2 linked regions of the Arabidopsis thaliana genome follow. The protein of the gene in region 2 purifies or fractionates together with the protein of the main gene of each other region. This does not show direct contact. Each region holds a gene or a part of one and is shown on either strand. Other genes may lie near its edges.

Region 1 (4,884 bases), on a different chromosome or scaffold from region 2:
ATCTGAGGTTCGAATGGCAAAATAAAAAACCAATGTCATTTCCTTAATGTATTAAGGTCATTTAAATAAAATTGTACACTTTTTTCACCTGTAAGCGTTCCAAAGTGTAGAATGGATAACTAGAAGGGTCAAAGGTATAATATTAATAAGCGAACTCACTTTTTGCCCAAGTGATTTCACTTCTTACATTTGCTTGATATAGTTACCCAAAAGTGTATATATATTCCCTTATACAATTGTTCTATTTTCTGGATTATAAGGGGAATAAGAAAAAAGAAAAGAGAGAGTATATAATAATACTTTTATAAAGTGATGTTAGATTCTAATTTGTAACGAAAAGTTCAAAGTGAAAGAAAAAACGAAAAAGTTTTTCTGTTTTGTTTTATATCTATAGCCAAGAAAGTTTCTCAGATTTACAAGAAGTTAACTGAGAAAAACAAAAAAAAAACTTATGAAGCATGAAAGACTAATTAACGAGGTGATTAATTTTGAGACAAATTAAACATCGAATTAAAAGTAACATTTGGAGGGTTTATATGTTATATATGTGACATGATAAGTCCGATTCATGACTAATGTATATCTGGAATCTAACATGGAAGAATAGAGAACGAAGCAGAGCCAAGGTCAACTTGCCAGACACGAATCAACAGATTGTGAATGAGACCAAATCAATGGTCATAAACCGGTTGGGTTTAAACCGGCAAGTCATCCTTGGCTCAATTCCATTCGTTATTCCTTCATGCAAGACCCTCTGATACAACCAAAGACTCCCATTACAATATTCTTTCGATCACGAGCTACTTATTTTCAAATGTGTTACCTCTTTCGTGACTCTTGTGTTGTGTGGTAAAGCCTAGTCGAGATGTGTCGGTATATATAGGCATACATATACAAATGCGACAAAATAAGTATATTATATTGTTTAATTTCTATATTCCATTTCTATATGCATGGCTGGGATTTTTGACCAAAACCCTAATTCAAGAATAGAATCCAAAAGATGGGATCAAAGAATATAATCTAATGGGCTGACCACATTTTCCGATTTAATTCGCATAGTTAATATTCTTTCCACTACTTTATGCCGCAGAAATTTGTAATTAAGTAAGACAAAGAAATACAGATATAAGATGGTCGTAGAAACCAGTAGAGGAATTTCATTTTTCGTGGATAAGTGGAATATTAATAAGAGAATGGTCTTTACTCTTTACAGTGGGAAATGGGAATAGTAGCCCATTATAATTTCATCAGATTCTATATATGCATGTTTGTATAAGCTAAAATAAATACGTTTAAGCATTCTTCAAAAAAATTTACAAGTTCTAGAGACTCTCTTAACGTCGGCAATTTATATTCTACTTTACATGACACTTTCAGGAAAAGAAAACTATACTCACTAGCAGATCATTAAATTTTCTTTTTCTTTTTTTGAATGAACCTTAGTTGTGGTTTTTATTTTTGTTAGCTAGAAACTTCAGTGTTTTTTTTCCGCCAATGGTAGTGCTTTGATGATGGTCCGGCCCAATTCATAGAAGGCCTTGAAAATGGGCCAGACCAATTCAGAGACCCAACAAGCTCGACTGTATACACAAAATTCACAAAAACAGCTTTTGAGAAGTTTTCTTCTTCTTCACCTTATTTTCGGGTATCAAAGCCACAAAACCCTGAGAATGGCGGCAGCTACTCAATTTCTCTCCCAACCTTCGTCTCTCAATCCACACCAACTGAAGAACCAAACCTCACAACGCTCCAGAAGCATCCCTGTCTTGTCTCTTAAATCCACATTGAAGCCACTTAAACGCCTCTCCGTGAAAGCCGCCGTCGTTTCTCAAAACTCGTCCAAAACCGTGACGAAGTTCGATCACTGTTTCAAGAAATCATCAGATGGGTTTCTCTATTGTGAAGGAACTAAAGTTGAGGATATCATGGAGTCAGTGGAGAGAAGACCCTTTTACTTATATAGCAAACCTCAGATCACTAGAAACCTCGAGGCTTATAAAGAAGCATTGGAAGGAGTGAGCTCTGTGATTGGTTACGCTATCAAAGCTAATAACAATCTTAAAATTTTGGAGCATTTGAGAAGTTTAGGCTGTGGTGCTGTGCTCGTTAGTGGAAATGAGCTTAGACTTGCTCTTCGTGCTGGTTTCGATCCCACAAAGTAACATTCTTTATTTACCCATTATTGCCCTGTATCTGATTTAGAGAGCTTTAACTTCATCCCTATAACAAAGTGTTTGACTTGTTGATGGAATCAGTATTGATATGAATGGTATGATTTGGTGTAAAATGAATAGGTGCATTTTCAATGGAAATGGCAAGTCTTTGGAAGATTTAGTTCTAGCTGCTCAAGAAGGTGTTTTCGTTAATGTCGATAGTGAGTTTGACTTGAATAACATTGTGGAAGCTTCAAGAATTTCTGGTAAGCAGGTCAATGTACTGCTGCGTATCAATCCTGATGTTGATCCTCAGGTATGGTTAAAATTTACTTTAAACTTTAGCATCATGTCTAACATAATTGGTCTTGGATATTAGTTAGTGAGCTTTTCTGTTTTATACATTTTTCAGGTGCATCCATATGTTGCTACTGGGAACAAGAACTCAAAGTTTGGTATCAGGAACGAGAAGCTTCAATGGTTTCTGGATCAGGTCAAGGCACATCCCAAAGAGCTGAAGCTTGTTGGAGCTCATTGCCATCTAGGCTCTACCATTACTAAGGTAACACTCTGATTATAGTTGCTTAAAGTTGTATTTTGATGTAATCAGATGAATATGGATTGCTCTCTGTTTAGTGTTTGCTTTTGGTCCGTCCTTAGATCTCAACTCTTGAGCTCTACGTATTTGCGTATGTTCTGTTTATTCCAGGTGGATATATTCAGAGATGCGGCAGTTCTCATGATAGAATACATTGACGAGATCCGGCGTCAAGGTTTTGAAGTTAGTTACTTGAACATTGGTGGTGGTTTAGGGATTGATTATTACCATGCCGGCGCTGTCCTTCCCACACCCATGGATCTCATCAACACTGTAAGAACAACATCTCTTTCGTTCATTTGATCTCAAAAGTAGTGGGATGGTAGAATTGTTACAATCCTTGATGTGTTCCAGGTAAGAGAGCTTGTTCTTTCACGAGACCTGAATCTAATAATCGAGCCAGGGAGATCTCTGATTGCAAACACTTGCTGTTTCGTCAACCATGTAACTGGTGTGAAGACGAATGGAACTAAGAACTTCATAGTCATTGATGGAAGTATGGCTGAGCTTATCCGTCCCAGTCTTTATGATGCTTATCAGGTAAAAACAAATATACTTCTCACAACAGCATCTGCAGATTTTGGTCCCCTTTGAGCTATAGCTAAACATTCTCTTGTTCATGTTTTTAACTCAAAAGCACATTGAGTTGGTCTCTCCTCCACCGGCTGAAGCAGAGGTTACCAAATTCGACGTAGTGGGTCCTGTCTGTGAATCTGCTGATTTCCTGGGCAAAGACAGAGAGCTTCCCACTCCTCCACAGGTATGATAAGGATATGATTCTGTTTGGAAGCTCAGGTAATGTGGAATCTTATGAGTTTATTGTATTCATTACAGGGAGCTGGTCTGGTGGTTCATGACGCTGGTGCATACTGTATGAGCATGGCTTCCACTTACAATCTCAAGATGCGTCCTCCGGAATACTGGGTACCAACACATTTTCTTGTTCCAGGAGAATCAAGATCCCGAGAGAAATTGTCATGAATTTGAACTTATTTTCTTCAATGTGTTGTTTGTTTTTGCAGGTTGAAGAAGATGGGTCGATCACTAAGATAAGGCATGCTGAGACATTCGATGACCATTTGCGTTTCTTTGAAGGTCTATGAACTCTTAGATTTACTCATCATTGTTGCTTTTTTGATTGAATTGTATGATTATTCGGAATCAGGACCATAATGATATTGCTGTTTTAGATTTTCACATTATGTGCTTTGATTCAAAGTCAATGAAGTGATCATATGAATAAGAAAACGTTCACAAGTCAAGACAGAAAATAAGAGGTGATTCTGATTATAAGAGGAGTCTTTCAAGCCAAAGTCGTCCATTGTCCAAACACATAAACACTCATCTAAGCTTCTTCCCATAGCTATAAGAAGATTCTTTCAAGCTTTTTGTTCACAAGTTTGCTTGCAGAACTAAATGAATCAATAACTACAACTACTATGTCATTAATCAAGAAACTAAAAGAAGATAGTTCATAGTTCACAGGACAAGTAAAGTGAATTTGGTTTATCATGTAGTGACTTACCGCCACAAGTCTAATTTCATCATGGGTTATAAGGAAGATTCCAAAATAAACCTTTTAATGTGTAAATGAGACGGTGGCTGGAAACTTGAAGTAGCAAAATGGTCCCATGCGACGCCGTATTGGCGCGGCCACCTCTCTCCGCCATATAATAGAGGTGGTCCTTTAAGTTTTATTTTCTTTCTGTGGTTTCTATGTTACCGTACGTATCAATTTTTAAAAGCAGCTATACATGGTACGACGTCTAACAACTATGTTACCTGAATTGTCCCATCGGGCCATTTAATATGTGGATGGTTGCATTTTTCTTCTTCTAAGTGACTAGTTTGTACTTGGTAAAGTGTTTACGCTAACATCCATTTGTAAGTTTGATTCAACAAATTAACTTCAACAGTGAAATGAACATGTCTAATTTGGAAAAGTTTGATTTCAAACTGAATATGTTAAAAATTTCTCAGCATAAATAAGATTAATATCCAAATGTTAATTAATTATTTTATTTTCAATTGGATGATCATAAAACTTGCAAAATAATTAATCAGAAAAAGAAGAAGCAAATTTTTTAATTATACTTGAACAATGAAAACCTAAATCCCTGCAATTTGGCT
Region 2 (5,575 bases):
ACTTCTTGGAGGCAATTCTTCCAATTTGTTCCAACATCACAAAACAAAACACAAACTGTTCCAATTTGTTTTCTCACAAAATGAGAAGTTGACCTCGCCTTAATCGAAGATATATGCTGAGATATAAACGTTTACTTCAAGCAAGTGCAACCAGTCATGAGACCCAACTCTATAAAACCAGTCAGCTTCGGGATCGTTTTCCTTGAAAATCCTGATGAACTAGGCAGTGATATACCTATCTACAGGTCGGCTTCTTTAGAAAGCTGACTCTTGGGGCGATCTGGGAAATTGAGCCTGAGTTCGGCTGGTCGGTTTATGTATAAGAAATTAAAGTTGAAAATTGAACCAAGATAAACCTACGTTATGGATTATAGGAACCAACCATTGTCTTCACTTCATCTTTTTCAACATACTGTATGTTTTTGATTTGAGTCCGACCCGAATTAGTCAAGTTTCAGTTTTAATGGGCTTCATCAACAAGTTTACATATGGACTTAGGCCCATTTTCAAACCAAAAAGTACAATACAACAAAAGCTTCTCCTTGTTAACTGAAACAAAAACAATGAATCCTTTTTTTTTTGGTCAAACACTGAATCCAACAAGTGAAAACAAACAAAAAAGGAGGGAAAAAAAATCAATTTTATTTTTGTGTGGCTGTTTTAAGAATTCCCAAACAAATGGGGAAGTCAATAAAATTGCTTAAGACACTCCATGAGAACATCAGTATGTTCAGGCTTTCCAGCAGAAACTCGAACATAACCTTTAAGCTCTTGACTGTTGTAATGACGAACCATCACACCCATTTTCGCCAAATCCTCTTTCAGCTTCTTTGCATCCATTCCAGATGTAACCTCACAGAGAATGAAATTCGAATAGCTCGGATATGGATTCAAGAAAGGAACTTCTTTTAATAGCCCGAACAGTCTCTCTCTTTCCCGTACCAAGGCGTCTCTCACATCTTCCAAGTATTTCCCGTTTGAGAGTGCTGCTAAAGCAGCTACTTCCCCTGCAACAGAGACATTGTACGGTTGCTTTGCTCTCCACAGGTATTCGATTATACTCAACGGAAACGCTCCATATCCAACTCGAAGCCCGGCTAAACCTGAAATATCATCAGAATTCTTAGATGCAGACTTTATATCTGTAATGTTTAGATTATATAGAGTGATAAACCAAAATTTACCAGCTCGTTTGCTAAATGTGCGGAGAACGATAAGGTTTTCATACTTCTTCACCCATTTCATGCGTGATTCAACTCCTGAGAATTCGATGTAAGCTTCATCTAGAACAACAAGTATTGGCATTTCTAGAATCTTCAACAGATCGTCCTCGCTGATGATACTGTATCAAAGAGAAACTCGGATTAATAATCATGACGGACTACTAAAAAGAATTTTTCCTTTCGAGTTGTTTAGAGTGGTGGTGTTTTACCTCCCATCTGGATTGTTGGGAGAAGTTAGGAATATGCATTTGGGTTTTTCTAGTTCTACAACTTCAGCGATGCGGTCTACATTCAAGCTGAAATCGGGGTTTCTTGGAACTGTGAAACAAACAAAGACCAACATGTTTAAGACTATACATTCAGAGAGAGAGAGAGAAGCAAAATCGAAGAGAATGAAACACATGAAAATCGTAAATCTTTCACCTTTAATGACACCTGCTCCATTCACAGCCGCATCAAACACATACATTGAGAAAGTTGGAGGACAATCTATAATCTTCTCCCCAGGATCTAACACGCATCTGCAAGAAACAGAGTTTTAGTCAGAAAATACGATTCTGGTAGAAGCTCAATTGACTGAAAAATCAAATCTTGAAGCCATACCTCATGATCAAATCAATAAGTTCGTCAGCACCACAGCCTACAAGTATGTATTCAGACTCCAAACCAGAGTCTTGAGCCAGTGCATCACGAAGTCTACGACTTTGTGGATCAGGATAAACGTAAGGGAATTTCATATTGCCTAATGCTTCAAAAACCTACACAGAGCTTCTGAAACCTGAAGTTAGAGAGGACAACTAACTAACTAACAAAATTATCCTTTTTCCAGTCATCAACATATCTATGAATGAGTGAAAGAAAGATATAGACTTGCCTCTGGAGGAGGACCATATGGGTTCTCATTAGCATCTAACTTGACAATATCCTCAGGCTTTCTTCCTAATTGAGCAGACAATACCTAATTACAAACAAACATACACATTTTAGAAGATAAATCCAATCCAACCCAATCCAATCATCTATAATTGTCAAAAAATAAATTCAATGCAATCTAAATATCACCTCAAAGGGTAAAATTGGCTGATAAGCAGCCAATTGTCTCAAATGTGGACGGATAAAAGAGTCTCCCATAGTTATATTCTTGGATTCGTCTACAGCTGCACTTGAAGACTGAGCACAATAAACCCTATTCCGGATTGAGCAAAAGGGTTTCTTCAAAGCTCGAGACTTTCGAAGATTTGACTCTGAAGAATGAATAGAGAACGATGGAGAGCCCTGAACATTGATCACACCCATCAGTTTTCGTGTCTGCGCATATCAAAGGTGGAATCAGTTCAATCTAGAGGAAACATCTGATGCACATACTCAATTTCACATCTTATTGACAAGTAATACCTGAAAGTTGACAGGAAGAGGGGCAAATGGAGATAACCCTAAGTAGACGAGAAGGGTCGTGAGCAGGGAGACTAAAGTGACTGAGATCAGTCAAAAGCTTCGGTTTTTCTATGACTCACTTGCGATTCGTGGACAAAGGTGAGCCTTTTTTTTATTCTGAGTGACTGAGAATTGGCGTACCAATTTAGGGGTTATCCGAAATTGAATCCAAAACCCGGTTCTGAAGAATCGGGTCGATAGTGAGAGTAGGTAAGAAAGTCTTCCAAGTGTAGTGTTAAATAAAAAAGTCTACTCTTGACGAGGTGAAGACGTGAGAGTAGGTCAGATCGATTTCCCGGCGATCTAAAAGGAACCAGGAGCCGATCTGCACATCGGTGACGAGGTGAAGACGTGAAGCCTATGGGAATGTGATACAGGATTCACGTGGTGAGCTGGTGATCTGGCGAGCTGGCAATGTGAAGTCAGGGATGTTAAGCAAAGTACGTGTTGTGAGCTGGCGAGCTGGCAATACAAATGGACGTTAACGGCGATCGTTATTAACGTGGTTAACGTTTACTTTCTTTACCTTTTTGTATAAGAGCAACATGTTATGCTCATGCTTTCATTATCGAATAATCTGTAATCTTCAGAATTCTCTAGAACCTTGTAAGTGCTAGATTTCTCTCACATCGAGAGCTAGCTGAATCATTTGGTGTTTTATGAACATCGATTGATTGTTTGGTTTTGAATGATAATTAGAGATTTGGATTGTTCTTATGAATAGCAGGTTTTCCTGTAACAGAATGTTGGTGGAATCGTCCTGGAAACGACGATGGACGTAAAAATCGGTCACAAAGGTGGCTGATCTGATAGCCGCAGACATGCATCTTTGGGCTACAGCCAGGACGTGCTTGTCGCAGAAAAACAGTAATAACTCTTGTTAAACGTAATCAATTGAGGCAAGGATGAATCCGTTAGAAAGATAAGCCTTGTAGCTTCAAAATGATGTGCAGATCGGCTCCTGGTTCCTTTTAGATCGCCGGGAAATCGATCTGAAAGCAGACAGATCGGGTGTAGACGGATCTGTGTCTCGATAAACAACGCATGCTCGAGAGAAAAACCTATAACTCTCGGAAGACAGCACCAAATGGAGCAAAATCGATCTTGTTGGAAAGATAAGCCTCAGAGCTTCATGATGATATTAAGATGGGCTCTTGATGTTTTCTGAATCGTTGGGAGTTTGCTTTCTAATCCAGTTGCTCCCACAGTTCGAATCTGCGATTTGACAGGTGTCATATGTTTCATTGAAAGTGATAACGCTTAGTAAACAGCTCGGAATTGGATGAGGTCGGTCTCTATTGAAAGAAGCCTCGGGGCTCAGTTGATACTTAGATCGCCTCGTGATGCCCTTTAGATCGCCGGGAATTTGATTCCGAGGTCAACAGATCGGATATAGATCGATCTGTATTTTGTCACTGTCTTCTGCAGATAAACGGCAGTATCTCCGAGAAAACAGACCCTAACGAAGTGAGCTCGGGCTTGTTAAAAAGAGGAGCCTCAGGGCTTTAAATTGATCTGTAGATCGTCTCCTGAGTCTCTCTAGATCACTGGGAAATTGAGCCCGAGTTCGGCTGGTCGGATAGAGACGAATCTGCGCTTGAAAGAAACGCCAATATCGCTTGGAAGATTGCTTCGATTGGATCTAGGTTAGATTCGTTGGAAAGATAAAGCTCAGGGCTTCAAATCGACACGTAGATTGACTCCTATCTCTCTTTAACTCGCCGGGAAACTCTCTTCCAAGTCAACCGTTTTGACAACTGAATCTCTGACCTAGAGGCTTATCAGTAGAAAATCAGCGATATTCATCGAAAGAATTCACCTATAGAGATGAGATAGGTCTCTATAAAACTCGAAGCTTTCCGTTGTCGCGTAGATTGTATCTTGTTTCTTTCCAGGTCGCTTGGAGTTTGATTCGTAAGTTGGCTGTTCCGACAGCTGCGGATTTGTCAGGGAAATTGTGTCAAGTGCAAAGAAGCCGACCTGTAGATAGGTATATCACTGCCTAGTTCATCAGGATTTTCAAGGAAAACGATCCCGAAGCTGACTGGTTTTATAGAGTTGGGTCTCATGACTGGTTGCACTTGCTTGAGGTAAACGTTTATATCTCAGCATATATCTTCGATTAAGGCGAGGTCAACTTCTCCGAAAAGACGACTCTCTGGGCGATCCGTAGATGTATTAACCCTTACGAGATTCCCTGTGATTTGTCGGGAAATCGGCCCCGTGGTGAGCTGGATTATTCAGACGGATTCGTAGTTCTAAAGATCGCATCTTCTGGATAGAAGCAGGGATAACATTCGATAGACAGCTCTGATGGAAGTGAGGTCAGCTTCTAGGGACACCTGACTCGCTGGAAAATCCATAGATGTGCTACTAGTTTCGAGAATCGTTGAGACTTGTGGGGGAATTGATCCCTAAGATGACTAGTCTTCTTAAGAAAGGATTCTATGTCAAACGAGATTGCATCTGCAGAAACATGGAGATAATTCTCGGATGAGATATCGGATCGAAGGGTAGTTAGATTCCCTGGAAAGCTAACAACCGGGGCAATCCGTGAACATATTAAACAAATGGGGAAGTCAATAAATTTATTTTACATTATAACTGGTTTAAGGCATTTAGCTATTATATTATATTTATGGAGTGGAGGTAAGAAGACAACATTTTTCTAAGTATTCTAGTTTGTTTTTTTTATTTATTAAAGCAGTAAGTGCTTAACCTGCACTATGCATGAGCAAAAGTCTAAAAATGATATAAAAATATTTTGTAATAGATTTGAGATGTTTTGTTTCTCACTTTGAATGAAAAAAAAAAAACTTTTACTAAAAAAATTGTTGTCGGTTTATGTATAAGAAATTAAAGTTGAAAATTGAACCAAGATAAACCTACGTTATGGATTATAGGAACCAACCATTGTC

The links. Proteins that work in one complex are often made in the same cells at the same time.
Region 1: the proteins of HPA1 (region 2) and AT3G14390 fractionate together in Arabidopsis thaliana (co-fractionation; one large-scale study listed by BioGRID). This does not show direct contact.

The regions. Positions count from the first base shown.
Region 1 is NC_003074.8:4,805,098-4,809,981, forward strand, and holds AT3G14390 (Pyridoxal-dependent decarboxylase family protein), read left to right. Parts: upstream 1-1,572; 5' UTR 1,573-1,673; coding exon 1,674-2,161; intron 2,162-2,297; coding exon 2,298-2,472; intron 2,473-2,568; coding exon 2,569-2,718; intron 2,719-2,865; coding exon 2,866-3,027; intron 3,028-3,108; coding exon 3,109-3,294; intron 3,295-3,391; coding exon 3,392-3,514; intron 3,515-3,588; coding exon 3,589-3,678; intron 3,679-3,776; coding exon 3,777-3,857; 3' UTR 3,858-4,336; downstream 4,337-4,884. UniProt on the Arabidopsis thaliana protein: Specifically catalyzes the decarboxylation of meso-diaminopimelate (meso-DAP) to L-lysine.
Region 2 is NC_003076.8:3,247,340-3,252,914, forward strand, and holds HPA1 (histidinol phosphate aminotransferase 1), read right to left. Parts: upstream 3,626-5,575; 5' UTR 2,619-3,625; exon of another isoform or gene 2,532-2,618; 5' UTR 2,520-2,531; coding exon 2,286-2,519; exon of another isoform or gene 2,182-2,285; coding exon 2,098-2,181; exon of another isoform or gene 1,982-2,097; coding exon 1,827-1,981; intron 1,745-1,826; coding exon 1,647-1,744; intron 1,542-1,646; coding exon 1,433-1,541; intron 1,343-1,432; coding exon 1,185-1,342; intron 1,104-1,184; coding exon 688-1,103; 3' UTR 515-687; downstream 1-514. Other genes in the region: AT5G10336 (uncharacterized protein), read right to left, coding at 4,604-4,726.